4 linked regions of the Drosophila melanogaster genome follow. The protein of the gene in region 1 interacts with the protein of each later gene in a pairwise test. Each region holds a gene or a part of one and is shown in the gene's direction. Other genes may lie near its edges. The genes, in order: CG15561, CG12268, mab-21 and CG12868.

Region 1 (5,981 bases):
CAGAAATCCTGCTACCAGGTGTTGCCGTTGCCCCCGGTGACCGCCGCCTGGTTGGCATTGAAACCTTTCGTGGCCAGCGTTTTTAGTGCGATGTGCTTGCTGCCTCTAAGGCAGAACTCAATTCAGACTAATCTGTGACTGACTACCTGGTGAAAGAAGCTAAAGGCGCGTCAGGGTGACCCATCCATTCCCCATTGTCCGAATTCCATTTCTCACTTGCGAGCTTCGGCGAGAACCGGAGATGCCAACTGACTTGGACAGGGTACTAATGCTTTGATCTTCTTTCTCCTCCCAACTTCGCGACCGAAACACAACGAACCAATACAACAGGTGCTGGTATCGGAACAGTATTCGGTTCCCTCATCATCGGCTACGCCAGGAACCCATCGCTGAAACAGCAGCTGTTCTCCTACGCCATTCTGGGCTTCGCCCTGTCCGAGGCCATGGGTCTGTTCTGTTTGATGATGGCCTTCCTGCTGCTGTTCGCCTTCTAAGCGCGCCTGCTGCACATCGATTGCTCGTCCTTGTTTCCTGCGATCGGGCGCGTGCGCCAGTCGCATGCGAACGAGAATAGCAACCAAACAACACTTCAAACAAACAAACAACAACAACAACCAGAACAAGCAACACCTACGTTCGTTTTCGATTATTAATGATAAAATGATTGATTGATTGATTGATAGCAAACAAGAACATCCTGTACAACTATCTAATTATAAATACCAACAACAACCACATAATACATGTAATTTTGTTTTTAAAAAACATGCGAGCGAGGAGAAGACCACACCTACTTTAAGTTGAACAACCGAAATATCAGGAGGAAGGAGGATTGGATTCAATCGGATTGGACTAGCCAACGCTCACGCCCATACCCAGACGACAGACATTAAAATTAGATTTTACTTAAAGCAAGCTTCCGGCTCACCGAAAACACAACCCAATCGATGGCCCGAACGAACTCCAGCCATCCTCGTGCACTCGGCCCATTCGGCGGAGGATCTCCATGCGCGCCCACCAAGGCTCTCTCTCTCCCCGAAGTTCTTGGACATGCGGCAGGCATCTCGTGGAGATCACCTCTGCGACTAACATCTTGGATGGGCGAGTGTGTGGGCGTGGCTGGGCGGAGATGCGGTGGATCGTTGAGCTCAGCAACTTTTCGATTTTATTGTGGCGCGTACTGAAAGTCTACGTTTTTTCAAGTATTTTGTATTCGAAAAAATCAGTTTCTTTATGTAAAAGCTGTCTTTGTTCATTGCCACTTAATATTTATGAAGAAACTTGTACTAAGAGTAGTTGCAAACGAAATGAGCCGAAGAGCGCAGCTGAAATCTGAAATAAAGGAGAAATGAATGTGTAATGGAATCTTGGCCAAGTTTGTTTTTATTTAATGATTTACTTCCTTGATAATTTACACAGAATCGTCTAATTTTCGGTAGTTCAAATTTCGGCGCCCGAATGCAGCTCTGTTGTGCTAGGACCGTAGTCACCCTGTAATTGGCAGAACCTATCGACACAAGTAGCCCTGTAATAATTGTTAGTGATGTGAAATAATAGATCTGCTTATCGATAACAATTGCGCCGCACGTGCACAATTGTTTATTTTGATTTTTCACATTTCTTGTGATGGATTTCGCCAAGAAGATACTGGGAAAATACGGCTGGAAAGAGGGCGACGGATTGGGCAAGAACAACACCGGAATCGCAGTTCCCTTGAAGGCCGCCTTGAAGTTCGATAACGCGGGACTGGGAGTGGATCGCGCCCAGGAATTCAATGACCATTGGTGGGAGCGCTGCTTTAACGAGGCCGCCAGCAATGTGGACGTCCAGATTCAGCAGGACGGACAGGTGTCCACCTCCCGCAGAAAGGGCGAGGAAGCGGTGGAGATATCCACTAGAGGATTCTCCGCGCGCAAGCTGAAGAAAGCGAAGGAGCAGCACGCAAGCGATGGAAAGGCCACCTACGACAACTTCCTGCAGACTTCGCTGCTCACGCAGAGCGGTGGAGAGGTTGAGACCTCCGAACGCATCAGGGTGGAGGACATTGAGGTCACCAAGGTGGCGGTACTCACAGATGCGGAACTCTTCAAGGCCTGCGGAGGAAGGACTGCGCACAAAGGAGCACGGCATGGCCTAAAGCTGAGCGGAAAGATCGCCCGCCTGGAGCAGCAGGAGCGCGAGATGCTGGAGAAGCTTCAGCGCAAGCTGAAGACTACGCCTGAAACCGAGCATCGAGCAGTGGAGTCAGTTGATGACAGTGTGGAGCAGTGTGATACGAAGGCAAAGAAAAAGAAAAAATCCATAGCGGAGGAGTTTTCCGAGGCATGTGAGGTTTCCCAACTGGAAGAGCCCATAAAATCCAAGAAAAAGAAGAAAGACAAGGCTGAGAAGGCAGGAAAGGAATCCCCAGCACATCAAACTCCAGAAGATCCCGTCAAGATCAAGAGGAAAAAAAATAAGACACGGGAGCCGGGAGAGGAAGACGGTGTGGAAGTCGAAGAGCCAGTGAAGATAAAAAAGAAGAAGGACAAGAGAGCGGATAGGCAAGCAGGGCTTGGAGCAACTGAAGGACTGCCCCAGGATGTTGAAACTGATGAACAAGTAAAGTCAAAAAAGAAGCGAAAAACGGCGGACTCTTCGGAGGAATCGGAAACTAGCACAAAACTAAAAAAGAAACGAAAGAACAAGGAGAACGTGTAATAGTTATAGTCCACTTTAGAATAAACGATGTTAGAAAAATGTAATTTATGAAAATTGCTCATGGAATTCTAAAATTCTATACGGAGTATTCCACATTTCGAAAGTAAGGCTGTGTGCACACAAAATGTTATGTATTTATGGGTCTAAAAAATCTATACAGGATTGGGGGCTTTATAAAACTAGAGTTTGGTCACCTAAATATAGTCGGCAGTCCCGGGGATTACTTTCTGCCCTTGGCCTTAATGCGTCGCGATTTGCCAAGCCGCTTGTTGACCGAAGCACCTGCCTTTACGCCCCGCTGGCGCCTGGAGGACTTGTCGCCATCCAATCCCGCGGAGGAGGACTTTGTGTTCCTCTTGAGGCCCTTCTTCTTGCCGCCGAAGCCGAACTTCTTGTTGCGCTTCTTGCGATTCTCGGCTGACTGCTTCTGCTTGGACTCAAGCGCCTTGGCGTCCTCCAGGAAGTCCAGGTTTTTCAGCTTGCCCTTGCGGAACTTCTTCAGTTTGTCCAGCATGTCCTTCTTCTCGGCTTCGCGTTGGACCTTGGTCTGTTTGGCCAGCATCTTGCCCATCTTGCGCTGCTCGCGGATCTGCTTGATGCGCTCGGATTTCGCCTGTCCTTGCTGTTTGGCCATCAGGTTGGCGCGCACCTTCTGCATGTGCTCGTCGGACTTGGCCATTTCAGCGAAGTAGTCATCGGGTCGACGAGTCTTTATGCCCAGCTCGTGAAGGCGGGGAATGGCCTCCAGAACAGCACTTTGCGCCTGTCGGTGGAAGAGCATCTCCCTCTTGAAGTCATTCAGGACGGGATCCTCCTCGGGCCGAATGTAGGGCAGCTTGGCGTTGCCCTTGAAGAGATTGGCCCGCTTCTGCTCGTGCTTCTCCAGCTGTACAGCGAGTTCCGGCGCCAGTGGAGCTAGTGTGTTGATCATGTCCAGGCGTTCCAGCCAAGGCAGTTGCATCTTGATAGCCTCTGTCTTGGCCAGCAGTTTGGTCTATGTGGGCAGGATTGGATTAGTCGATTCAAAAGCGGGCATCCAGCTAGCTACTTACCACATCGTTCACTTTGTCTCTCTGGCCATTGAATTCCACATTTAGGCCTGGTTTCAAGTCGCCTCGCTCAAATGCCGCTTGCAGCTGCAGGAAAAGAGTGGAGATTTTGGTATACGGGGTGTTCATTTCTTCGGTTCCTCACTTACCTCGGCATCTGAGTTATCCCCTGAGTCGTAGCCCGAGGCACTGTCCTCCATTTCAAAGTCCGACATGTCTGAATTAACTAAATTAAATCTGATCCAAATAAAAGAAAACAATTTCAACACGTGCGGGGATAAGAATTATCGATTGTTGCTGGCCTAAGTCTATCGGCTATCGATGTTGCAGTGTGACCTTCACGCGGCTTACTGCTAAAATTATTGAGGTGCACTAAAAAGCGAAGTGCTGTGTGACCGTTTAACCAATTCTCGCTTCGCTTTTCAAATACTGCCGCTTTTTGTTTCTGTTTTGCGAATTTGCTCCAAAAATGTCGGCTTCTGCGAACTTGGCAAACGTTTACGCGGAGCTAATGCGGCGGTGTGGCGAGTCATACACGATCACCTATGGAGCGCCACCCACCTACTTGGTGAGCATGGTGGGGGCTGCGGAAGCTGGCAAGAAGATTGTGCTGGTCTTTAAGGAGGATCGCAATGGAGCAGTGGCGAGACTCCGGACCACGCCCACCAGGGCAGCCCCAAAAAAAGAGGGCTCTGCGGACTTGGATCTGACGGGAAGTCCTTTGAAGGACGACTGCCTGGTGGACGCCATAGCCGACTTGTCCATCGACCTGCAGCTGGATCACTCGAATCCCTGGAAGCTGGAGGAGGAATATCAACGCGGAATACCCGTGGACAAGGCTAGGTCCATCGTGTGCTCCGAGTTCCTGCAGCTGGCCGAGGGACTCGGATCCGTGTGGTTTTTGTGCGACGGCAGTGATCTCGGGCAGACTCAGTTGCTCCAGTACGAGTTCAACCCTACGCACTTCTCCAGGGGAATACTTAGCTACCAGGGTGTGCGCCCTGCTTACTTAGTAACCTCGCAAGCCCTGGTGCGCCATCATGGCAAGACACCGGATGAAACTCTCATTGAAAATAGCTACCAGGTCAATCCCCACATGAGACTACGCTGCTCCTGGACCTCTAGTGCTGCACTTCCGCTCCTGGTGAACCTGAACGACTGCGATGTGGCTTTGAATCACACTTTTCGCGTGGGCGACTGCGGTCCTTTGACGCAGGACTTTATGAATCAGCTGCGCATTCTGGTCTACATACGCGAGGACATCGTCTCCTACCACACGGATGTCAAGCAGGGCGTCTCTCGGGATCCCACCTATCGTTGTGGCAGTGGCATTGACATGGACGAGCTGCGCGAGTCCATTAATCAGACAATGACAGATGTCTCTGGCCTTATAGGTCGGTATAGCATCAGCAATGCGGAGTTTGACATCGAAGATGTGGTGCAGAGGGCCAAGGTTCGCCAGCTCACGGATCTAACCGATAAGCTTTGGGAGCTGCTCAAGTGCTGCCACTCCTACAAGGATCTCAAAATTGCCTTTAGTATGCTCTTCCAATGTGCTGCACGGTGTAACATAGTAGTAAGTATGCTAATGCATGCAAACCACCACATATTATTCATGTTCCTCACCCCATAGAACACGCCTACTAACAAAAATCGACTTGCCAAGATTATCACCGAGTTGGCCAACCGTCGTCTGGCCATGCCTTGTTTAAGTGGGGCCGAGCCTCTGGAACTGCTTTTGGAAATTGGCCTGGAGAAGTTGTACAAGGACTACGAGTTTATCTACACCGAGAGCAAGATGTGCAGCACCAATCTGTTGAAGGATGACTCCAGCGGAGCGTCGATGGACGATGGTTCTCCCCAGAATCTGCCCCAGCTTCGAAAATCCCTGCACAATGCGGTCAGGGGTGATCCGACCCCTGGAGCTGGAATGCGAAAGACGCTGCTGCATCATCACGGCGCTGTCAATTCGCGGAGTACAAAATATGCCGGTAGCGACGATGATGCTGGGTTCAAAAACAGCCATTTCGACGAGCACGAGAGTACGGAGAGAATCTCAAAGTTGTTTCAGATTCACTGCACCTTAGAGCATCTCCTGATGATGCACATCCACTTAAATCTGGCAAATGGTAAGAAGGACAAAAAGCAGATCCTGGGATTTTTAGCTATAACTCCGTTTTTGACCTACAGTTTACAACGATGTCTGTTCTGAATTGCTGAAGAAACCGCCTA
Region 2 (10,028 bases), 7.3 Mb from region 1:
AGCTCCATTTCAATAAATGGATAATTTTTCACCAGTCGCAATCAGTGGATTCCATCTTAAACTGTTTGGAGGTGGGTAGCGATATGACCGAACCGATGCCCAGAGCCCAAGGCATTCAAATACTCGAGTACTTGCTGTTCAAATGCCGCTAACCAAGATCAGTAGTATAATTGTCATACATATGGATAGGTCGCGGGAGGCGAAAAGTGGTTTAGGAATGCACCCTAAGCTGGGTGAGAGTGAGTCCAGCTAATTAAATGCATATCTCATATCTGGCCACTTTGCGTCAGCAGCCGGTGCCGCCGACCTGTTTTAAATGGAAAAATAATGGCCGAGCCCACACGGCGTATGGGTTATATGGACAATATTGCGTGCCGATATGCGTAAACATCAACAATCACAGAACCACAAACGACAAGCAAACCCAGTCAACTGAGTTAAACAAATATGACTACATATTTCCATTCGTATTGCCACGATTTGTAACTGGTTTCCCCTGGGAGTAGTTGAAGTGATGCAATTGGAAAATAGCACTAGTCTATACCAAAATGGGTTAGGCAGTAATAAAGTTCTTATAAATATGAATGGAATTTTGTATAATATTATATTATCTATGTAATTTCTTCATTTCAAGCTATATATTTTATTATAATATAGTATTATTTATAGCAGCTATTAATCCTTTTCTGAAACTTTGCCACCAGCATATTCAAAGTTGCGAAACGAAGTTTTTAGTTGGGTATACCCCATTGGCACGATACCCAGCTCAGTTGGTTGGTTGACTCAGGTCAAGCCTTAGTGTGTTCTACTTAGTCGTTAATCGAATCTCGAACAAATAGCAAATATTTAGTGTTATTTAGTATTCAGCTGCTGCGAAAGCAAGCGCGATTTGCAATTATGTTTGATTTATGGCGGCAGTCCCGATTCGATGGGTGGTGGTGGTGGTGTTTAGGGGTTTTGGATATCGGAAATCCCATTTATTTCATCCGCAGCTCCAGCTTCACCTTTTAGCTCCAGCCCACTTGGAGTAATCAATTGCAAAAAAAAAATTGCATAATGATGGCCGCGACTGATTGAATGCATGGCGCATACGTATGTATATACGTAAGTATCTACTCAAGCAACCTGTTCACAAATGCTGGATTATTCATCGGTATAGTACAATCAAAAACTTTAATGCGGAGTTGGAGTTGTGGAATGGAGAAGAGCAATTCTAGAGTATATATTTAGTTCTTAACTTAATATCAAAATCAAAATTAGGCTCTTGATTAAAAGAATCAATATCTAAATATAAGTATTAAGATCATGCGAAATAGATTGAGTCTGACAAAGTTATCCTAATTAAATTTAGTTGTATACCACTTCCCCTAATGACAATATTCTAACTTAATTCTCACATAAGATTTAGACTTTTTTAATTAAAAACAATAACATTTTGCGTTTTATTTCACAAAAAAAATTGCGCCTCTTTATGGATCTTTTGACGTTATATGAAAGATTATGATAATAGGAAAATTTTATGAGTTTTTGAGTTGTACACTTAAATATTTTCAATTATAAGTTACAAGTGTCAAGTTCTAAGCATAGCTTATAAGCAACAAAAGTGTGAAAGGCAAATGCTAGCTAGTTAGTAACCAGATGGATGTCAAACAGGATCCAGCCGAGATTCAAGATTATGCCATTGTATCCACATAGAAATCGAGGTATGTTAAAGGCAAAGATCAAAGACATTTTCCAAGGAGTTTCTTAGAGATGCGGGCACGTGTGTTGAAATCTCTTCCGCTTGACTAGAGACGAAGCCCGGATTGGTCGTACAATTCGCGGATGGGTGACGAGACCGTTTCCTCGGTTCTGTCGCGTTTACAGAACCAATTAGAGTGGAACTATGAATTGGGCTGGACCAGGGGCGTCCGTCCAACGACTTGGGCTACCAAAACAAATTATGTCATCAAAGGAAAGGGAAATGAAAATGGAATACAACAGATGAGCTGCGAAGCCTGTTATTAACCGCAAGGTCCGTGGGCCAACATACCTGGCTGGAAAAAAAATGAAAACGTAACGGAGACGTTGCTGAATCACAATTTCAAGGTCGTCTCATCACGACATCTTCTGTTGTTGCTCGTTGTTACCGGATTGTGAAATCCCCAGCGATCCTGTGCTCCATTGTGTCCAATGGTCATGCCCCTCATCCCCACATTACGCCAGCCCACAAAACAACTCACCTGACGGGGCAACTTTTTTTTTTTACCTGGCCATTATCACAGCTTGCAGCCGTGGATCAGGTTCCTCCAAGAGGAAAAAATCTCTTCTACAGCCAAAAATTGCATGAATGCATTTTAGCGCGGAAATGCGCTGGTATGAGTTGTCTGAATTCGTGCATATACCACTACAGTGGAGACACAAATAAATGCGATTATCAATTAGGTTTTCAAATCCTAATTAAATTTTTTTAATAGGTTAAATGTACAGGTGTCAAGCAAATGATTTCATTATCATATTTAAGAATTTATCATTTGAGCTAAAGATGCATTACAAACGTGTTTTTAATAAGAGTAAATAAAGTACTGTGACCAGTACTTGAATGTAAAATGATTTTAATGCAACTCATGAAATGTTTCATAAAAATGTGTGTGCGTGTGTGAGACAAGCCCTCCAAAGAAAGTTCCTTATAAAGGATCCTCACTGTATGCATGCATCTGTTTCGCTGCCATGGATGACATGCGCTTTTTTAGGGCCACCTCAAGTGGCTGGCCTTGGTTTGGTGCGGCTCCTTTTTTTGCGGTCGAGGGGAATTTTGTTTTGGACTCCGTCTAGAGTTGTGAGGCCATTGCAGTTCGTATGGCCCGATTCCGAAGGCGGGGAATCCATTAGCATTGCCCTCGCTCGACTTGGAGTACTTTAAGTGCCGTTTAATTGGCTTTAATTCGAGTGTTTCGATTCGGTGTGTGTTTTTCGGCTTTATTGCCTGGGTGAGGGCAAGCTCATCTTACGCCTGATACAACCCGGAAAGCAGCACTGCTCACCTGGCCACACACACACACACACACACAGCTGTCGGCGCACACGTTCACACAGAGCGGTCAACTGTGTTGGTGCGGCGTTGGCGAGGCAGCGACGCCGGCAGAGCCGAGTTTCCTTTGAGCCGAGTATAACTTCAAGCCAATTGCCCGCTTTCAATTCAGTTGCCGCTGAGTTTTCAACCGATTCAATTCGAGATCGCCAACAACACTCGAAGATTCGCCAGTCACCGTCGCCTGAGAAGTGAGTTTCAGCTTCAATCGAGGCGCTAATAACTTGGCCTAATAGTCGTTGGCCATCCTAATCCCCACGTGAACTTTGGCTCCGTGTGTGTTTGCCCTTACAATTGACACGAAAAGCCCCAATGAAAACAAAAGTCAATCCAACAATTGTAAGCGAAATGTGTGCGAATGTCATAATTTGCGTGCCTCAAGTTACGTGAATCTGTCCGTCCGCCCAAAAAGGAGGCGTGAAATGCTGTGTATAGTGTGTGCTAGTTAATTAAAAAAAACTGAGATCGGATCGGCCATAACAATGGGAATAAAATTCAATGGAAATTAATGCAGTTAGAATGGAAAAGAGCAAATTGTTTCGAGTTTGTGTCTTAAGTCTTTTGTTTGGAGACAAACATTTGCATGAGTGAAGGAGATTGCCAAATTGTGCATATTTAAACATACAATTTCCTGGGACAACAAAGTTTTCAACTCAAGACATTTTAAAGTGCTTTTTGACTTTCATGTTAAGTTAAGTTAGAAACTAACCAATTGTTGTATTTTACTTAATAAAATGTTGAGTGTAAGCACTTTTAAGTAAACTGTGAGACACTTGTACCAAAGAAAAAATAGTACGGAAAACTAGAATATGTGAATAACTTATAAATGTTTTAATTGCCTTGTCGGAAACGTAAACAATTGTGTTTGAATAATTTAACAAATGCTGCATTCTATAATTTTGCAATCAATCAATGATTCAGTTTCATTCTTAAATGTTAAGCAATGGAAAATAAAGCTGCAGCGCATTTATTACAAAGAAAAACATTCCATAAGATTTCGTTTATTATGTTTCTCCTGTTGTCGGCATATAAAAGTAAACTACTTTAATCAGTGCGCCCATAAAACGAGAGTGAAATGCAGAGGCTTTTTATGGGTGGAAATCGCTTAAGTCATCATAACCTGGCTAATTGCTCGGACTTCCACCCGCACTTGCATTGCCCAAGAGCCTAATGCACACACTAAAAACTAAAGAGCCGAAAATAAAAACCCAAAATAAAGCAATGGTCCAAACATTAACCCATTGCCGGACGTACACTTTCCAAACATGAAATAAACAAACAGTCGGTGGCCGCTAACAGGCCTTTAAACTTGTCACTATTTACCAACGCAAACAGATGATGTGCGAGGTGTGATGGTATCCCAGGTGGTGATGGGAATGGTGATGGGGGGTTCGGGGGTTCCAGGGGAACGGACACCCGAAATCCCAATTGGCCGCGGCAATTACACGCGGTTGGTCAACACTCCGCAGTTGTCTCTGCCTGATCGTATTTCACCAGTATCCGCTGCTGACATTGAAATAGAATCTGGCGCGGAGTAGGTTAGACAAACAAACGGCCAGTAAAGCGAACTTGAAAATATAAATAGTAAACTATTAAAACTTCCCTTGCTAAATTTTACAAAGTAAACTAAATCCTTTAAAAGCCTTACTCTCATAATGAATGTATAGACTACTTTCCGATTTCAGACAGCTGCTTAACCATGGACATACTGAGGAGCGATGCCGATTGCGGCGAGTCCGATATTGCCAAGTTCTATGCAAACAAAACCATCCTTATTACGGGTGCCACCGGATTTATGGGCAAGGTTCTGGTGGAGAAACTACTGCGTAGCTGTGCCGACCTGAACGTCATATATCTATTGATACGCACCAAAAAAGGGGTCGATCCCAGTGTGCGCAAGGAGCAGTACTTCAAGTGTGTGGTAAGTATTCAGATTCGCCTCCAGTTACCGGAACTCAAAGCATTCCATTATTAAATGCTGTAAATTGAATAGTTTATGGCTCGTAAATAAAGCCCAGCCCCCTCGTTTTAAGCAGCTTAATTAGCAGCTACTTAGATTGCCATTCTCCGTTGTACCACATGACGTATGCGTAATGGCCATATAAAGTGCAACGAAGTGCATCAAAATTCCATGGAATCGTATAATGTGCTATGTTGCCAATTAAAACTAACTATATTGATTTGTGTGATTTGGATTTTCTAATAATTACTAGCTGAAGCAAAAAAAAAAGCATTTCCGGGGGTTCTCCAAAAAGTATTGAGCAATATTTACTAACAGCACAACTAAAATTCTAAACCACAAAGAATATATGACTAAAGCTATTTTCGTAATTCCCTAGTAAATGTTTGATATTTCATAATACTGCTTATGGTATTATTACGACTGAGAACCCCAAAATTTTAGCTTGCATGAAGCACAAAAGTGTGTAAGTCTCGTATTGCATAGCTACTATAGTTTTGATACAATTAATCATTTATTTATTATTCGTTTATGACTGTATAATGGTTTTCCGCTTATTTTAAAGTGTGATATGTGAGTCAGTCATAGATTGAGACACTCCATTTCAATTCAGCCACACGTCAATAAAGATCTTACAAAATGCGAAGCGATGAGTGTTTCAGTATTATGGCCTTGCCCACCGGCCGTTAGCCATAATTTCCACTTCAGACAGCCTGACAATTCCGAATCCGAATCCGAATCGCGACGCACTCGCACGTGAACTCAGATATAAATTCTATATAATTATACGCTATAACTGAACTAATACCCCGTTTGCCCTCCGGCAAAAAAGGGGAAAACCTCAAACGCAACTCCCGCAAATTACCAAATTATCGCACAGCTCAAAGACACTGAGATTCGGTGTTACGTGGAGTCCACAATGCAACCCACTCAAACACATCCACGGCGTTTATAAGTCAAGGTGATCATTATTGGTAGAAAAAATCCAAAAACTTACAATGACTCTTAATTGTTGGACGTTAAGCCGGCGCTGAAACCAGCGACATGGCCCATTACGCGATTCTAGCCAGTGGAACAGCAGGCCATTTGGATCCAAATTGCAATTCCAACGCCATGACACTTAACTAATGACCGACCGCCTCTTGTTTTCGCTTTCAGATCTTTGGCAAGCTGCTGGAGAAGAATCCCGGCATCGTGGACAAGGTGCGCGTGGTAAAGGGCGATCTGCTGGAGCCGGACCTTGGCCTGAGCGCCAATGACACCAACACACTCGCCTCCAACGTCGAGGTGGTCTTCCACTGTGCGGCCAATGTGCGCTTCGACCAGCCGCTGCGTCCCATGGTCATGATGAACGTGGTGGGCACCCTGAAGGTCCTCCGCCTCGCTGAGAAGATGAGCCAGCTGCAGGCTCTGGTCCACGTGTCCACCTCATACTGCCAGTGCAACGAGAGCGTTCTGGAGGAGCGAGCCTACCCGGCTCCACAGAACCCCTTCTCCATCATCGAAATGGTGGAGACGATGGACGACGAAGCTCTGGCGGAGATTACACCCAAGTAAGTGGTTGAAATTGCTCTTCCTGAGCCGCAGATATTATTGCTCTTATTATTCGCGTCCAATGAATTTTGAGCAGCACTTACTTTTAGTAAACAAACGCTTATAAAGATTTGGGCTATCTAAATACTGGCTGAAATATAATGAAGTGCCTATAGTTTCATGCTCCTTTACAGGCGTACCTTGGTGGCACCTAATAACCAGTTTCTTTGGCTTATTTTTAGATTACTAAACGGCTTGCCAAACACGTACGCTTACAGCAAGGCGCTGTCGGAAGATTTAATTTGCAGATACAACAATAAGCTGCCCATAATCATCACAAGGCCCTCGATCGGTGGGTATACCATAGTGTCTACTCTGTTTTTGTGCCTCCTGGCTAATTGCTTTATTAAATCCATTGCAGTGACGGCCGCCATTCACGAGCCATTGCCCGGCTGGATCGAGGGCGTCAATGGACCCACCGGCCTAATGATCGGCGCCGCCCGCGGAGTCATCCGATCGATGCACTGCAATCCGGACTACGCCTCCACGGTGATACCCGTAGACAAGGCCATTAACGGCATGATCCTGTGCGGCTATCAGCGCGGAAAGGCCAGCCAGGAGAAGGGTAACAAGCAGACGGGTGTTGAGTTCTGCAATCTGTGCATCTCCAGCAAGGCGCTGATGTCCTGGGGCGACAGCATCGAGACGGGTCGTCGATTCTTCTACGAAACGCCGCTCAGCTTTGCGCTCTGGTATCCGGGTGGATCCATCAAAAAGAACTACTACCACCACCTTTTCTGCGTCATCTTCTTCCACTATCTGCCCGCATACTTCATCGACTTTTGGCTGCTCGTCTTTGGCCAAAAGCCATTGTAAGTAAACGGTTAAATTTTAAGTTCTCCTATTAACACATGGATTATTCCCATCCAGCTTACTCAATGTCCAACGCAAAGTGTCCATGGGTCTGAAGCTGCTGCAGTACTACACAACGAAAAGGTGGGAGTTCCGAAACGAGCGCTTCCAGGAGATGAGCAGTCAGCTGAGCCTCCTGGATCAGGACCTCTTCGACACGTCGGTGGGTCAGGTCAATTGGGAGACATACATCAGTAACTACATTGTGGGCATGCGCACCTATATACTGGGCGAGAGCGAGGACACTCTGCCGCAGGCCAGGAAGGTCCTGCGACGGCTGTATATCCTCGACTGGGTCAGCAAAGTGCTGTTTTTCTCCCTGAGCTTCTGGTTCCTGTGGACCCATTTGGATGGCTTCGTGGAACGGAGCGATGCCTTCATCCGATCCTCGCTCAGCACCATTTACCATGAGCGAAACAGCACCATACATGTATAAACTCTTCTTTAATTATGTACTTCAAATATAGTCCACAAGATTTTGTTTCTTTTTAAGTAAGCTAGCTGTGTTTTATTTCTATTTTAACTAAGGATTAAAACTCAAAACAGTCACATAGGAATTGTGTGAAAGATCAATAGCATGATAAGCCCGAAAGTTACGTGGTAAATTCCTGAAAGTATGAGCTCTAAATAAAAAATTTAGCAAAACCTTTAAAAAAACACCTTATATAAAATATACCTTGTATATATCGTTTGTATTGTACTGTACGATGTTTATTACTTAGATTTTCAAGTGCTTTCTAAAAGAAACTCAGTACCCCCCTGAATTCAACATATAGCCGAAGATGATAAATCATAGCTTAATCTTGGAGTCAAAGAAAAACGTGAACGTGAAACCGATAACAAATACCTAATCTCGCCCTGGCAACGAAGCGAGTAATCCGCCGGCGGTGGTGCCGCGTTTCTAGCGGGCACTCCACCCACAGAGCTTTTCGGTGAAAAGTTTGCACCGCTCTCGCCGGAGAGCAAAAAGCTCGGCGCTCCGAAAAAGCCGACATATATATACATATCTATGCGAGTGCCTCGGCCAGTTTGGTGCGGCGTCGAGTAGCGAGCGGTTGTGTAGAACAGAATAAAAAAAGAGTTGGAACCCGAAGAATCCAAGCGATTAGCAGCATGTATCACCTGAAGAGTCTGGCCCGCCAGGGCGCCCGCCGCCAGCAGGAGCTGGCCACGCTGGCCAAGGCACTGCCCACCGCTGTGATGCAGTCGAGCCGCGGCTATGCCACCGAGCACCAGATTCCCGACCGCCTCAAGGATGTGCCCACCGCCAAGGATCCGCGCTTCTTCGACATGGTCGAGTATTTCTTCCATCGCGGCTGCCAAATCGCCGAGGAATCGCTGGTGGACGACATGAAGGGCAAGCTGACCCGCGACGAGAAGAAGCAGAAGGTGAAGGGCATCCTCATGCTGATGCAGCCCTGCGACCACATCATCGAGATCGCCTTCCCCCTGCGCCGCGATGCCGGCAACTACGAGATGATCACCGGCTACCGCGCCCAGCACAGCACCCACAAGACGCCCACCAAGGGAGGCAAGTGTTGATCCAAGATAACCCAAGATATAATAGTCAGAACTCTGCACGTAGGTAGTAAAAAATGAGACGTTAAGAGGTTTTCAAAAGGGATGCAAACAAAAGTGCCAAACCTATAGAGACCACTAGATGATTCAGTTTTCCTTGAAAATCTAAAACAAAAAATGCAATTACCTAGCAAGTTTAAAGCAAAAATTTGTCAACACTTACTTAAGTTTTAAGAAACCCTCAGAACAGCTGTTGTCGCTCGATGCAAAATCGATTTTTCCTTAGGCATTTCTGGCATTTCGTCTTGATTTTTCAAGTTATGTAACCCAGTATATAAGCCACACCAGACCAGACCCCCTTTTCCCCACGTTCTGCGCATGTACCGCTGCCGCCTGTTTTGTTTACGTTTTAGCCGACTGGGCTCCCCCTTTCTCCACATTTTTTTTTTTTTTTTTTTTGTTATTTGAGGGTTTTTAGGCCGCATTGCATAAGGCTCGGACGTTGGGCACACGTGTTTGCATTAGATTTCCAAACCCTTCAAGTGTGCCACCATTCAAAAACAGATGTACATATGCTGAATGTACTGCCCGCTTTTCGCACATTTCATTATTTTCGAGCTGGCAAATGTATTTCGATTCTTTCGCTGCTGTTTGTTTTTCCTTTGGCTGGGTGCTATTTATAATGAACTTTTGCTTGTGTTTTGCTTTCTAATTGAAATGAGAGCACAGCACTGCACAGTGTGTCAAGTGCTAAAAAAAAAGTAACGCCCCTAACCACCAAAAAAAAAAAGAAAAAATCTCCTTGTTGTCAGGCCACAAAAATTGTTTGTTCCGAATTCTGTTCCTTTTTTTTTTGCTTCATCTCAAATTATTAATTATAGAATCAGTTTGGTGCTTATCAAAAGCAAAAAAAAAAGAACACAAAAAATATGTAGTGAAAAATATTCGACTAGGGAATCTTATCTGACCTTGGTTATGCGCAAAAATAGAAAACAGAAACAGCCGAAAAAACGCTATGCCCCTAAAATTTGTTGT
Region 3 (9,797 bases), on another chromosome or scaffold:
ATGCCCAGGGAATGGATGAAAGCAGGGGAGGATCGTCGGGCGAAGGGATGTTGCTGCCAGCGGAGATTGCAATCTTTGTGCTGCAGTTGTCGCTTCTGTTTCTGTTTTTCGGTTTCTGGTGCTGCTCCTGCTATTCCTGCACCATCAGATGCTCCTTTCCCTCCTTAATTTTCCGCCATTTGCTCATTTGCCGCGCAACCAGAAAGCGTATGTGTCCTACAGAGAAAAAGAGGGGCAATGTTGTTTATTCATTATTATTAAGTTGCCATTAAAACTGTATGTTTGTATAACGAGTTTATGCGCAAGGGACAGCTAAATTTTTTCCGGTGCAGATGCTGGGAGGGATTGAAGGTGGAGATCTTGTGCAGCTGATAAGCAGTGCCTCCCGATGAAGTCGTTTTTTGGAGGACCCCAAAGAAGAGCCGGCGACACACTGCCAACATACACAATTTAATTAAAGACGCGACTACCGGATAGGATTGGATCGGAAACTATCGCCGATCGATCGACGATCGCTGACACGCATAAATCCTGCACATCGATGCTAAAGATCGACGATATCGGGCTGTTGGACGGACGGGACCTTTTACGGACCTCTCGATCTGACCTTGGCCACTAATGAAGATCTCGAGACGCCGCTCCTGCGGCTGTTGCATAATTCATTTCCAATTTATACGCCATAAAAGCGATAATGGCCGCAATTAAGTTCGTGTTCCTTTGATAATTTTCCACATTTACGCGGCCATTAAAATGATTCTGAACGCATTTTTCAGACCCTCCTATCAGCTCGCCTCATTTCCATTTCCATTCTAGGTGTCCATGCCCATACCCATTCCCCATTACCGTTCCCAATCCCCGACAGGCTCCATTCAACGCTGGCTTATCGCAAAGAAAGAGAGGCGTAGAGATGGGAAAAGCATCTGGGGGAATTGGGAATATTGCATGCGTATAGATATAGCCATAGTGCGAGTATAGTCCAACCCCGAGGTGTTAATTAGCATTATCTTAATGCACGTTCCGGCACACAGTTCAAATTGAATTATACATAATAATTTGTCCGCCGCTCTTTAAAGTGCAACTTAATGTTCGAACGGACAGGCCATCTCCATCTTGCCCTCTGGATCTCGGACTTCTGGGCCTGGGTCTCCGGTCTCCGGTCTCCGGAGGGGTATGTGGTGACCCCACCCTGGACGAAGCGCAAATATGGTGGAGTGGATGGGGTCCAGAGAGCTCGTGTTAAGCGCTCATTAATCACATTAGATATGCATTAATTCGGTAAGGAATTCAATGGCGTGTAGACGAGCGAAAGAGACGGCGGCAGTTGGGGGAGGGAGATAAATAGATACTCTCTGGCGGAAGAGAAGGAACCATTTCTTTTAGGATAATCTCTGGGAAAAGTATTACTTAGATTTCATGTGTAAGGTTTTTTTTGCTATTAGCAATAACAATAATAAGATGGAATATTAATGCACTTATTTTCGAGGGAAACAAGTTGCTTCAATTTAATATATCTATATAATATATATATGTCCATATACTGAATATCCACAACTCATAACTTGGCCAAATGTAACCCAATTTGCACGTGGCATACCTCTAAAAGCTTGTGCTTAAGCCATCTAAAAATCTGTATTCCAATTTAGTTGATTTTTGAAAAATAATTTTTTACCAATTTTTTGTTATTTTAATGATTGTTATTTTATTTTCCAAATTTTCGAAAAATGGTTAAAAAATTTAAAAGTCCAGTTTCGAATATACGATGTTAGTACGGCACGAGCTGAGTTCGGGAAGGTATAACATTTGAAGATACGACTTGTTTTAGCCAAGTTATGATGCATTGATTTTGTGATGAGGTGGCCTTAAACAAAAGTTAAGCCATTTATTAACTTTTAACATTCAACAAACGTATGTCACCATTTTGGACTACTTACTTGAAGAGTAAACAAATCAATATTTATAATCCCAGGACTCTTTAGTTTACTTCTACTGTCTGGCACATTAGACTTGTCCTGCGACGCCCAACCCAATGTACGCTCCCATCCGCAAAAAGCCACCAACAATTCCCCAATAACTCATTCAGTCCACCGTTTCCACCCACCACAAAGGCAACAACAACCCCAAGCAGGCAAAACAAACAAACAAACGAGGTGAGTACTTAGTATGGGTGAGTATCTGTGTGAGCGAGGCAATGCCTAGATGCGCGTGTGTGCGTGAGAGAGTGCCAAAGGGGGCGGAGCCAATGGAAGGGTGGCTTAAAAGCCGGGCTTATCTACGGGAATATAACTATAGAATAAACTATAGCCAAAGATCTGCAGTGTTTCCCTATGCTACTTTATGTTACTTTATGTTTTTGTTTGTTTTTCAAATTATAGTTATAGCGAGAGAGAGAGAGAGAGCGGCACAGCCATGTTGGGGAGCAAGCGCGAAAGAGAGAAAGAGAGAGAGAGCGCGCTCGTGGCTGGAGCTGTCTCGCTCGCACTTGAAAAGGGGAGCCCATCTGGGCTGCGAAGCCAGCGGCTGCAGCGACGCTGGCAGAAGCTGAGGCAGCGGCAGTTTTCTTGCGGTGCGCCCGCCATTCGAAATCAGTCAATGTTGAGTTGACGGCGCGAGAAGACGCGGGAGAAAGAGAGCGGAGAATTGAAGAGCTAGTTGATGAATCAGAAAAAAGAATTAGGGTCCCCGTCGCTGTGCCGTCTTGCAGAATCTAAAAGAATCTAAATATCACAATATAGGGATACCAAATTGAAAGAATCAAAAAACGAGAAACGAAAATAATCCAAGTTGCAGAACCGTCGCTGTGCCGTTAAATTACTTATTGTTTTTTGTGTGTGACTAACTACATGTGTGCCTCCTAGGTAATGAGTGAAGTTGGCAGTGATTCCAACAGCAGAGACTAAAGACTTTTGGGCGCCACCAAGTGCCCCGCCGTGTGGAGAATGCTGGTGCCGTCGGACATGATTGCGGCGCAGTCCAAGATGGTCTACCAGATGAACAAGTACTGTGCGGACCGTGTCCAGGTGCGCAAGGCGCAGATCCACAAGCAGATCCAGGAGGTGTGTCGCATCGTCCAGGACGTGCTCAAGGAGGTGGAGGTGCAGGAGCCGCGCTTCATATCCTCGCTGAACGACTACAACGGTCGCTTCGAGGGCCTGGAGGTCATATCGCCCACGGAATTCGAGATCATCATCTACCTGAATCAGATGGGCGTGCTCAACTTTGTGGACGATGGCACCTTGCCGGGATGTGCCGTCCTGAAGCTGAGCGATGGAAGGAAGAGATCCATGTCCCTGTGGGTGGAGTTCATCACGGCCAGTGGGTATCTGTCCGCCCGAAAGATCCGCTCCAGGTTCCAGACCCTGGTGGCCCAGGCCTGCGACAAGTGCGCCTACCGCGACATTGTCAAGATGATCGCCGACACCACGGAGGTAAAGCTGCGCATCCGGGAGCGCATCATTGTCCAGATTACGCCCGCCTTTAAGTGCGCCGGCCTTTGGCCGAGATCCGCCTCCCACTGGCCGCTGCCGGGCATCCCATGGCCGCATCCCAACATCGTCGCCGAGGTGAAGACCGAGGGATTCGACATGCTATCCAAGGAGTGCATCGCACTGCAGGGCAAGAACTCCGCCATGGAGGGCGACGCCTGGGTGCTCAGCTTCACCGACGCCGAAAACCGGCTGCTGCAAGGTGAGTTGCCGTCGGGAAATCTTAGACGGGTTGTATTGTCGTCTATATGGGAACTACTCAGGGTAGAGCACTTAACTCTTTTTTCACACACTAGCTTAAAGACTGCAACTCTTGCAATTACATAGTTCCTAGTTTCCTTTATGGTTAAAAGATATATCCTGGTATCCACATTCACGCCTTTCAATTTATACACTAAGAAATATATTTTATCAAGCGAATGTTATCATAAGATAGATTTGAAGACAAGTATCTTTGTAGTCGCAAAAAATTCTTAATTAATCGGAAATACCATTGCTTTGAAAACTATTTCTCTCAGTGCCGAATGAGTGGCTACCGTTTTTCGGGCATGTTTTGGTAGTGTCCCCCAATCAGTAATCAGTGACACACTTAAACTGAATTGATTTATTCCCATCAAATCAGCGACTTGGTCTTGATACGCCCGTAATTGGTTGTAAATTAACCGTCGGACGGGGGAACATCATATCATTTTGGAGATCTTTCAGCTAGTTGGGAAAAAATGAAGTTCCATTTTAGTTTTTAGTAATCTAATGAGAAGCCCACTTAATGGATTTAACTAACTTTAGTTGAATTCTAAACGGCAGATTCTATGGAAAGCTATGGAGCTATGGAAATTGGATTATAGAAGGATCTTAAGAGATCACCATATTAGGATTCTTTAAAGGATGTTTTACACTTGTATCATTTTTAAATGTTCATGTAAGATAAGATATCATTTGAGCTTAGGATCTCAGAATGACTGCTTATCGTGTAGTATTATCCAAAATCGATGTATGTATATCTACGATGCGAAGATGGTCACAATCAGCTTGCAGCGATTGTCACACGGAATCTGCATAGTTGGGCGGGAAATTGCACTGCAGATTCAATTAGGCAGGGCGATAAGATGGCCGGCGATTAGTGGGGACCCACTCGCATTGAGTCGACGACTGCCCAACGAGACATCCGATTATCGGGCCCAGATATGATATGAGATACGAGCCAGCGTCGCCCGGTTGGCTACGATCATAAATCTGATGTTCGATCGATGGGGGGAGTCTCAGCCCGAACACGGGGAGTTGGAGTCTTTAGCTCCTCAGTTTCTGTTTTTTTTTTTTTTTTTTTTGGGTATTTGGTCGCAGCGCGACAACGCACACAAATCTGCTGATCCCCGAGAGATAAGCGCAGTCTCGGTAGTCGTAGTCCCAAGGCAGTTAGACGGTTAGTTGGTCGGACTATGGAGCTACAGAGCGAAAGAAACGGGTTTCTGTATGAACAATGCCAATGGCTGGGCCATAAATAAGTTTCTAAACGATTTTATAAATATTTTAAATCTCGGCGATTAGATAAAGTCAACAAATAAATAAAACAACAGCCAGGCCAGGCCAGGCATGAGATGACACACACACGGGGTAAGAAAGGAAAAAAATAAAGAAAGAGCCACAAAGATTGGGTTTTCGGGGGGGGGGGGGGGGGAGCTAAAAGCTGGGAGCCGAGGCAAACCAGAGAAACGAAAATCCAGCCAAAAAATCGAAACAGAGACAGTAAGAGAACAGAAACAAAAAAAAAAAACAGAAACAAAAAACTGAAACCAAAACTGAAACCGAAATCAATTCTAAGGCCGCTGACAACGATCTCTGATCGATATTGATCCGACTTTTTTCACCGCGTGTTTGTCATTTAATTTAATGCTCTCCGAAAACTGAAAACGAATTGAGACCCAGACTCCGACTCCCCCTAAACTAGCTTTCTGGGAATAAGGTGGGGTACATAAGTGTATCGATATCGCCAGATCGTGACTATAATTAGCACGGTCACTAGCAGCTACCAAATTAACGTCCACTTGACATGGACTCGATTGGGATTGGGATTTCGATTTCGATTTCGATTCGAGGTACTTGGAATCGCACTTGTTTTGCCCGATTTCTTGCGACCCCACGAGTCGAGTGCCAATATTGTGGCAATATCGTTCAATATTGATTAGCCCAAAATGTGAAACGGAACCCGGAGCAAGACGCTCCGGAGCGGGAAAAAAGCCGTAGACGTGATTATCGGACCGGAGCCGAGATTAGCCCGGCTGACATCGTGCCAACGTAGCCATGATTTATGTGCTCCAACGAACTCGGGCCACAATAAATTAGGAATCAGTCCGACTTTATACCTGTACGTCCGCCTCTCGAAGGAGAAATTGAAACCAGAACATAAGTACCTCATATACGTATATGGGTTGATCAATCAAACTGAAGGGGCGAAGAACATAAAGAATTGAATATTGCCACAGCCTTATGATGTTTGTATTACTCGAATCTACTCAATAATACCTATCTATGAAATATAATATATGTAATTTCACTGGAAGGATCTCAAGTGTTTTAACTTTTTATTGGTAGTATGAATATCTTGAAGTTTTAAATACTTTTATTTGATATCAGCGCACGAAAGGCATGAGTCAGGGTACGAAAATCCAAATAGGTTTCTCAAGTGGTCAAAATAGTTAGCGAAATAAATGAACCGATGTACTTGAGATAGAAAGACTTCTAATGACCAAACCCATCGATCAGTTGCTGTTTAACTGACAAAGAACGATTCAGCTATAGTTCTGTCGAAATCGTTTCGATTCAATAATATCGATAGCATCGCATGGACATAATGATGCATTGAGCCAAGGGCAATCTTCGGAACTCCATTCGGAACTCCATCCTTACCAGCAAGGCCCACCCACTAACCCAATCAATATTATATGCTTTCTATGTTTTTTTTTGTTATAGAACTGATAGGAATTGATATGTTTCAAGTGCTTTTAAGCATCCTGTCTTATATTTTGTTGCAATTCTATGAGACTATTTAGGCTTAACTAGACTTTAGTTTGGGGAATTACCTTATTCAGCAACTCCATTCCATTTCTTCACCTCAATTCCAGGAGCGAGTCGACGACGCTGCCTGAGCATTCTGAAGACCCTGCGTGATCGGCACCTGGACCTGCCCGGCAATCCGGTGACGTCGTACCACCTGAAGACCCTGCTGCTCTACGAATGCGAGAAGCATCCGCGCGAGATGGAATGGGAGGAGAACTGCATCGCGGACCGGATCAATGGGATATTCCTGCAGCTGATATCCTGCCTGCAGTGCCGCCGCTGTCCGCACTACTTCCTGCCCAATATGGATCTGTTCAAGGGCAAGTCGCCGGGTGCCCTGGAGAATGCCGCCAAGCAGGTTTGGCGGCTCACCCGGATCATGCTGACCAATGTCCGTTGCCTGGAGGAGCTGTAGAGCTGCAGAGCTGCAGAGCTGTAGAGGCACCAGCACACACTAAGCACTAGCTACTACGAGAATCCATTGGATCTGCGGACGCTGCGGGGGCAGAACCGCCACTGGGACTTCTTTTTTTTCATACGCCTTTTGTTTTTTTAGTGATTTTTTTTTTCTACAACTAAAGACAAAGGATCGCAAGGATCAAGGGCGCTGGGAGGGTCGAAGCTGGAGAAGGAGAAATGTGTGAGAAAGATAGAGAGAAAGCAGTGAAATTGTAACCCAAATACTATTTGATATTTCGCTAGATCGTAACTTAAGTTTAGGTGCTTTCGAAAAGTATACGCCGCTTACAGAGTTTCCTATAATTAGAGCATACTTAGTGTTATCCATTTAGATCGTCATCGTCGCAAAACGCACAAAAGTTACCAACTAGTTACATTTGTATGTACGACATTTTTTTTTTTTTATTGGTCCATTTGCTATTAGCAAAGTGCAGAGCAAAATTAGCTAAATTAGCTGTAAGTCCTAATGAAACTGAGACAGCCGAGTGAAGGAATATTTCCCCGTCGGTCCTAAATTATTTATTCTATGTTTTTGCCTTCTTCTTGTGAGTTTAGTCAATAAAACGTAAGTTTTTTCAATGAAAATTAGCAGGGTTATTACTTTCTTTTGTGAGAGGGGTAGGTAAGTACGTACAAACCAAGGAAAAGTCTTAACAATTTAAGAGTATTTTTACGTAAGAACAATTTATGTGATATTAATGATTTGCCCAGTTATCGGGTTTTGAATAGTTCTGACATAGCAATTTTTTGGTATGCGGAATATCTGTCCGAACTGCCAACTTCTCGAGGGTCTCGTCCGTCGATCATCGGATGGCCTTTTGATGTTCTGCCGGCATTATTGATAGGCCACGATTTCGATGGATTTCGATGGACTGTGGAAAATGTCAGAGGCTGACATTTCGTTGGCTGTCGACAGGTTGCGCATTTTAATTGCGAATTAACAGCGATTCCGCGGACAGCTAACAATCCCAATAAACTAAACACACACACGCACGCACAATTTGTGTGTGCCGCATCTGCCACGCCCACCCACGCCCACCGCTCGCGAGAGTGACTCAGAAAGTAAAGATACATTTGTGCTTTCCCGTCGAATCGATGAAACATTTTGGTCACGTGTCTGTTTCGATTTCGAGCGACAGACATAACATTCAAATTAAACTTTATGTCATTCATAAATTAAATAATTTAATTTTTCCCCCATTGTTTCGTGTTGTTACCTTCTTCTGTTTTTAGCTTTTGGCAGTCAACTGTCCACTTCTGCGGCTCTCCATTATTTTTAGCCTTAATTTATACTTTATTGCGACCAAGTTGATTTATGCATGTGCGGCTTTTGTATTTTATAGTTGTAAATTACCCAGCAAATGACAATTGCAGAGGCGACACGCAAATCATGCTAACACGGCATAGTCGCACCTCTGAATACCCTTTAATGATCATAATAATTTGCTTGAGATACATACTGCACAAAAAAAAAAAAAAACAAAGTACAAATATTGTTCTCTTTTTAATTTTTGATGAGAACATTTTCGATTTCGATTTGCATTCCAACACATTCACATTCACATTCGGTTGGAATGGATCGAATTTATTCAGGTGGGCGATTTGGTTATGGCCATTTATGACGGCGATGATTTTGGATCAACTCGATTGGGCTAAATTCGATTCAAATGTCTTTTATTTTTCGATCGGGTTGTTAACCGCCTAGTTGCGCTTTTAATGAGTTGTGTTTTATTGGATTTGATTTGCATTTTAATGCGGTTTCATTCTCAAATTTATTATTTGTTGTCGACGCAGACGCAGTGCGTCTGTGTGTTTCCTTTTTATATTTTTCTAAACATTTGCTTATTCCATTGAGCGGCAGACACTGTTTGATCCGCCGCTTCCCACACAAATTAAACCATAATAATAATTAATAAATGATAATTTCGGCAATCGGCTGGTCCTCCTCTGGTTCCCATCTTCCTGTTTGCTGTCACCATCGCACTGGGAGATTTCCATTTCCATGCAATTTATATACGTTTTAATGGCCGCAAGAGCAAATTTTATGAACATCTCATAATCGCATTTTAAACACACAATTTGTCACAGCCCCTTCGCATGTCACCCACTCGAAATGATCGCCTGCATATGGCATAGCAATTAAGGAATATTCATTTTTATTTCCACACCCATTTGCAGGCAATAATTAAAATTTTATAACCGCTTCATTTTGGGTGTTCTTTTTTTTTGTTAAGTTTAAAACAAAGTTTGGTTCAAAATCAACCGGTGCGTGCAAGGCATTTCGCACATCATTGCGTGACAAATCGGCGGAAAATTCACTCACTTGTGATATATACATATTATATAAACTTCTTATATACCGGTTAAATCTGGCGCTGAACTCGATGAGGACCTGCTGTCCCAATCTTCTGACCGCCTGTCAGCCAGCATGTTGGCCACATCCCCACCGATCCCCGCCAGCCGCCAGCAAATCCGCACCTCATCCACCTCTGGCAAATCAAAACAAATGTTTTATTTAAATGGTTAATTTGATCGGGCCAGAGCATCTGTGCCGGCCGGCTTGTTGGCGATGGCCAAATGAGCAGCTTACAAGGAGATGATGAGGCCCGAGGTACACAAATGGCTGCCAAATCGTGAGAATTGCATTTGGAATGCCACCAACTGAAGTCGATTGGATTCGGGCTCTTGGTTCTTTGGTTCTTTGGTTCTTTGGCTCTTTTGAGGGCACCTGGCAGGGGATTTTAATTTGCTGACTTCAATCAAACTGCAGTAGAAAAGGCAGCAGGATGAGGCAGTGGAGGC
Region 4 (5,945 bases), on another chromosome or scaffold:
ATAGCTGCTCGAAATCGACGGCAGGGCGAAAGTCTTCATATGTTGCCACCAGCACGCCTGTGAAAGCCTCCACATCCCAAGCAGCAGCAGCAGCAGCTCTAGGAAACGCTCAGCCAAGATCCACGTTGGGGATCCCGAAAAGTGTTCGGGAAGACGCTAGTCAGGTAGTTATTATTTACGACAAATATTTATGTGGTCATTAATAAACAATTTATTGTTCCTAAACAGTTCGTTAATCTCAACACAACAGTGTGTATGCCAGCACCAAGGACGAATGCCAAGAAAAAACCAGGGACTTCGGGCCCTTTAAAGTCGATGAATTCTTCACCAGCTGTGCAGAAACCGGCGCTGTGCAAACAGCAGACGGCGCCGGCAAGAACTCTGTCCAAGAGCACAGTCTCATCCGTTGCACGAGCGAAATCAACAGGGTCTTTAAGTGCAGTGTTGGGTGAGACTCCTGCTGACGAATTCGTATCCCCCGCCGGAATGAGTCTGAGTACCACCGGAAATCCGAATGTCTTCATCATTAACCACGCGGTGCAGTCAGAGGAAAGCATCCTGCCTGACTCCAACAGCAGCGTAGGGCACATGGAAACGACGGTGATCAAAGGCGAGCTGGATGATTCTGCGGAGATTATTATATAGCAGGGCAAAGACTATAAACCAGTTGGAAAGTATTCTAAGTTACTTTAGCACAGTTAATTAAGAGTTAATTATTTCGTTGAACGCAAAATCATAATTTTGTAATTCTGAAATGAAGAATTTGTTAAACCTTACGCAGCATCGTCATTTTTTTTTTTTTTTTTTGAAATAAATGGTTAAATATTTTATTCAGTGTGGGACTTTCAAGTAAATATCTTATAGTTATCATTGCATATTTATTAAGTATCCAAATAAAATATAAATATAAACATTCTAACATTTTTTTATATAAGCCGAAACGCATAAATCGTGTAAAATAAGAAATAAGAAAAATTACATTTCGTTCGAAGCTTTTGGAGCCATTGGCGAAATCTTAAAGCTCTTGTGAAATATTACAGAGCGATAAGTATAAAAGTTGCGCAGGGGAAAAACCGTTTCTATTAACAACAAATTTTTCAAGATGACAACATCTGCTGTTGAAGCTCCCAATAGTAAGTTTAGTTAAAACTTTACAGAGGCATATTATAATGATGCACATATGTATATAATAATCTACAGGTGCATATCCCGATTTAGAAAAGCGACTGGAAAGGTATTTGCGAAGTGTGTTTTGCCTAAAGGAAATCGATACTAAAAATGAGTACATTCCAACCGAAGTGGAGTACTTTGGAGTTCTGAGTTTAAGCGATGTTCGAGCGCCTCGCCGAAAACTGTGGTACATGTACTATGCGACAACAGATCAGGTGGACAAAACTGTGGATCAGATCCATCGTAAATATGGCCAAAAGAATATGTACGAGCTGTTCAGAAAACCGGTATATACAGGGGCTGGAATGCGATCCCGTGTTAAGAACCACTTTAAAGGGCTTAAGTGGCACGTAAAAGGAAACATTTTGGAAGCCCCGCTAGGTAGCTCCCTTAATGATGAGAAAGTGGTTAACACAATTGCAGATTTATATCAGAACGAAAGGAGAAGATACTTCGATTACCTTATGTCTAGGAGTAATCTGTATAAATCGTGTACATATCGAAACATAAATGCATAAAATATTTTCATTTATGTATAAGACTTTCTAGAATAAAGCTTTAAAATAATAAATGCCAATAAATGCTAACCAGTATTCTTTTAACGCTTGTTGAGGTAGGAAGGCAAAATTGCCGCACACTTATCAATGGGCAAAGCCTATGAATCACCTTAAGTTTTCATCTGATTATATTTCTTAATAGCAGGGAATATTAGCAACATGGACGATAAATTGGAAAAGTACTGGAGACGTCTATTTTATATGAAGTCAGTTGCAGAACCTACGTCGTTGGATGCTGATACGATAGAATATTTCGGAATATTCAGTATTGACGAACCAAATGTCGCTGCCCAAAAACGGTGGTACATTTATTATGGCCTTAGATTAGAAAGGTTAAAGGTTCTGGAAAGGATTCGAAAGAAATATGGCAATAGGAATGTCAGAGAAATATTTCAGATCGCCACATTCAGCGGAGTGGGATTTCATAAAGTCGTCAGAGAATATTTCTCCAACTTAAAATGGTTCACAAGCAGAAATCAATTGGAAGCTCCACTAAATAGTTATTATAATGATGAAAGACTAGTGAAAACTGTTTCGGACTTGCATAACAAGGAGCAAAAAAGAATCTTTGACTATATAATGATACAACACGCCTGGTTTGAGCGGTATAATGATCAAAAACCACCTCCTGCTAAACATTAAACTAACTAAAAACATCGACTTACAGTCGACATCTGTTGACTAAAAGCGGCATGTGTATTTGTTGATAGGGGGTATTATTATACATTTTACAACCTATTGGTCAAGTTAAATGATTTATAAAAATATGTCGAATAAAATATATACACACACAAGTAGCTTGCGGTTATAATATAGTAGTACATAATAGTATATACCTTGGAGTCTAAAGACACAGTCATCCGATCATCCTAATCAACAAACATAAACACCCTAGTTGTCTGCATTAATAGGTATTAAAAAGAAACAAGCGCATTAAAAGCTCACTGTTTTTTGATAGGCCACAGGGTTGCTTCAAAAAGCTCTTTTGTTGTGAAATTGGAAATCGTAAACAAAACGAAACAAACTTTATACAAATCAGTTGAAATCGTATTTGTTGGGTATTTAATAAGAGTGCGTAGGAAGTTAACACGCATTCAGAAGTCAGAGAAGCAAGAGTCACCTCGTTATTAAAATATGACAACGAATTCAGTAACTGATAAGAACACGGGTAATTAAAACGGCAAATTATTTATTTGGAACATCAACGATGATTAACAACCGATTCGCAGAAGGAGATTACAACCTGGATGAGGAAATCGACAGCCATTTGAGAAAATTGTTCTGTCTAAAACCAAAAGCTGAAACACCCAAACTCAATCCCTACATAGTAGAATTCTTTGGAGTTCTTAGCTTGACAGATCTCCGTGCCCCACAAAGAAAACTATGGGTCATATATCACGCCAAGCAGCCTGATCTGGACAAGACCGTTGATGAGATCCACGAGAAGTATGGCAAGAAGAATATGTTTGATCTGTACCGCACACCAGTTTTCAGTGGAGTTGCTCTGCGGGACAGTGTGAGAAAGCACTTCTCGAACCTAAAGTGGTTTACGACGGGAAATCTCCTGGAAGCCCCACCTAAAAGCCACTTCAACGACGAGCGAGTGGTGAAAACCATCACGGATCTGCATCATCTGGAACACCAGAGACTATATAATTATGTGATGGTGAAGAATATGTGGTCTATGCGGTATCGCTAAACTAACCTGTGATTTAGGATTAAATTTGTATATGACTATCTAAAAGCAAGAATAATAAATTGTACTATTACAAAATCCATATAACATAATGGTTTGCTAACCAATCAAATAGTATTGTTTTCTTGTAGTACAAATTTTGTTTATTTTCCTATATTTCGTTGAATAAAGTACATAATAATTATGCTGATTTAATTTGTTAAATATATTCGATAACATTAAATAAATTCCGCTTGTGTTTTTTTTTTCTAAATGGATGACAACGCCGCATAAGGGTTAAAGTGCCAATCGATAACGCACGTCCTCACCTATCGCCACCCCTGTTGAAGCGTGCGTCTTTCTAAACGCAGACAGAATAAATAAAACCTGCCAAAGGCTATCAATTAATTGGTAAACACTGATTGGGTGTGCAATATAGCAGGGAATCAAACCCTCAAAAATGGTAAGAACGGCAATCCAAATAGTGTGCACCCATTCATCTTCTTTTTTCGCCACCATTGCTCCGATAAGCGAAGTTTCGATAGGTAAGCAAAAAGCCAATGGATCGGGAGCCACTCAGTAGCGGGCGTCTCCATTGCAGCGCCAGATATAAACACAAGCGATCGGCGTCATCATCGTCAGCGGGGACAACTTCATCCGGACACAAGGACCGCAGGTAAATGTGTACACACATATGTGAGACGACCCTAAACGATACCTCTTTTGACATGAAGCATCGAGTAGTTTTGACTGGCAGTTTGGAAAAAAGGTTCAACTGTCATAGGGCCCTTTCATTTGGATTTGCCCCCTCAGCCGATTCAGCTGGTGCTCTTGCCAAGAAAGTTAAAACCAAAAATCATTCAAGCCGATTTCATTTCATTGGAAGAAACCAACCAACCAACCAACCAACCAACGAACATCACTATGTAAGAACCCACCGAAGCAATCATTTTCATTCTACGTCCAACTACCAAAGAATTTGGCCGAAAGAGGTCGAACCCAACCGTAGCATTTGTCAAGTCACACAAATTTTCCAACTGTCAGTTACCAAGGCGTGCAAGAACCACCCGAAATCCACACGAAATACAAAACTTTTCAAGACCCTCAAGAACGAACCGCAAGATAATCTTATTTCATTCCATTCCACATCGAATCAAGGTCTGACTACGATTACTGTGGCAGTCGCCGGCACCAGCGGTCCTCCTCTCGCCGACGCTCCCGTTCGCGTTCCTCCTCGGAGTCGCCGCCACCGGAGCCGCGTCATCGCTCCGGACGTTCATCACGCGATCGCGAACGAATGCACAAGTCTCGCGTAAGCCATTCTGCCGATTAATGCCTCCTTTCAATCCTAAAGATCTTCGGCGTTTCAGGAACATCCACAAGCAAGCCGCTGCATAGGAGTCTTTGGACTGAACACAAATACCTCGCAGCACAAGGTACGCGAGCTGTTCAACAAGTACGGACCTATCGAACGCATCCAGATGGTGATTGACGCACAAGTAAGTCGGTTTTCGATAAGCATTGCTAAGATATTTCCTGCCTGAATCCTTTTGTGTAGACAAATCCGCTGAAGCCCTGCAGTTTTGTCTTAATTTCTGGCTAGATAAAATTTGATAGCGATTGTGAGTTTTTGTGTATTCCAAACTAAAAGCTAAAGGCTTGCTGTCACAGTGGCATATTGTTCGAAGGAAATATTGATCTCCCGAAATCAATATGTGTTCAGTTGTTAGGAAAGTTCAAGTTCACAAACGTAGATTAACCCTTAATAACTTCTGACATACAGACACAGCGTTCCCGGGGCTTTTGTTTCATTTACTTTGAGAAACTCAGCGATGCCCGCGCGGCTAAGGACAGCTGCTCCGGAATAGAAGTGGATGGTCGCCGTATTCGCGTCGATTTCTCTATAACCCAACGGGCTCATACCCCAACTCCGGGTGTGTATTTGGGTCGTCAGCCGCGTGGAAAAGCTCCACGCTCATTTTCACCGCGTAGAGGACGCCGTGTGTATCACGATCGCTCCGCTTCGCCCTATGACAACTATCGTGATCGCTATGATTACCGCAACGATCGCTACGACCGTAATCTCCGCAGGAGCCCTAGTCGCAACCGTTACACTCGCAACAGGAGCTACAGCCGTTCACGCTCTCCGCAACTACGTAAAGTTTATTCCTCCGTCTATTTAATCAAACGTTTATCCTGTATATTTTCCACGATTAGGTCGAACTTCATCGCGCTATTAAAGCGCCTGGGGAGGAGGCTACTTCATTAACTCGTGCTCCTAAGTTCGCCCAACTGGATTGTGTCAAACGGGCTGTAAAGGAGCATACGACTGAAATATTGTTTTGGTGAATCCTATCCCATCTAATGCATTTGGTTGGCGAACAGTTCGCAACTAGATTAATTAATTATTCACCCAAAACACCCTTTAATCATAATAATTCGGTTACTATTATTAATGCTGTATAAAAACATAAATTGTAAATATCAAATCAATTACCAACATTACATACAGAGGTCCGCATGGATTGTGATATGTATTTTAA

What was found.
Region 2: the proteins of CG15561 (region 1) and CG12268 interact in a two-hybrid assay, tested with the Drosophila melanogaster proteins (one large-scale study listed by BioGRID).
Region 3: the proteins of CG15561 (region 1) and mab-21 interact in a two-hybrid assay, tested with the Drosophila melanogaster proteins (one large-scale study listed by BioGRID).
Region 4: the proteins of CG15561 (region 1) and CG12868 interact in a two-hybrid assay, tested with the Drosophila melanogaster proteins (one large-scale study listed by BioGRID).

Annotation. Positions count from the first base shown.
Region 1 is NT_033777.3:31,211,527-31,217,507, reverse strand, and holds CG15561 (uncharacterized protein), read left to right. Parts: upstream 1-1,565; 5' UTR 1,566-1,626; coding exon 1,627-2,700; 3' UTR 2,701-2,732; downstream 2,733-5,981. Other genes in the region: ATPsynC (ATP synthase, subunit C), read left to right, coding at 331-494; CG1542 (uncharacterized protein), read right to left, coding at 2,921-3,694, 3,753-3,836, 3,899-3,964; zwilch, read left to right, coding at 4,219-5,325, 5,383-5,878, 5,940-5,981.
Region 2 is NT_033777.3:23,941,572-23,951,599, reverse strand, and holds CG12268 (uncharacterized protein), read left to right. Parts: upstream 1-3,175; 5' UTR 3,176-3,261; exon of another isoform or gene 3,262-3,409; intron 3,410-4,737; exon of another isoform or gene 4,738-4,755; 5' UTR 4,756-4,769; coding exon 4,770-4,991; intron 4,992-6,188; coding exon 6,189-6,583; intron 6,584-6,805; coding exon 6,806-6,915; intron 6,916-6,984; coding exon 6,985-7,435; intron 7,436-7,493; coding exon 7,494-7,911; 3' UTR 7,912-7,972; downstream 7,973-10,028. Other genes in the region: Gdh (glutamate dehydrogenase), read left to right, coding at 8,589-9,006.
Region 3 is NC_004354.4:6,005,962-6,015,758, reverse strand, and holds mab-21 (mab-21), read left to right. Parts: upstream 1-2,577; 5' UTR 2,578-2,936; coding exon 2,937-3,684; intron 3,685-6,601; coding exon 6,602-6,951; 3' UTR 6,952-7,576; downstream 7,577-9,797.
Region 4 is NT_033778.4:14,602,117-14,608,061, reverse strand, and holds CG12868 (uncharacterized protein), read left to right. Parts: upstream 1-2,764; 5' UTR 2,765-2,861; coding exon 2,862-2,895; intron 2,896-2,956; coding exon 2,957-3,426; 3' UTR 3,427-3,513; downstream 3,514-5,945. Other genes in the region: Su(var)2-HP2, read left to right, coding at 1-164, 229-645; CG33468 (uncharacterized protein), read left to right, coding at 1,103-1,133, 1,201-1,688; CG33469 (uncharacterized protein), read left to right, coding at 1,887-2,369; tra2 (transformer 2), read left to right, coding at 3,963-4,078, 4,561-4,714, 4,773-4,901, 5,186-5,558, 5,620-5,642.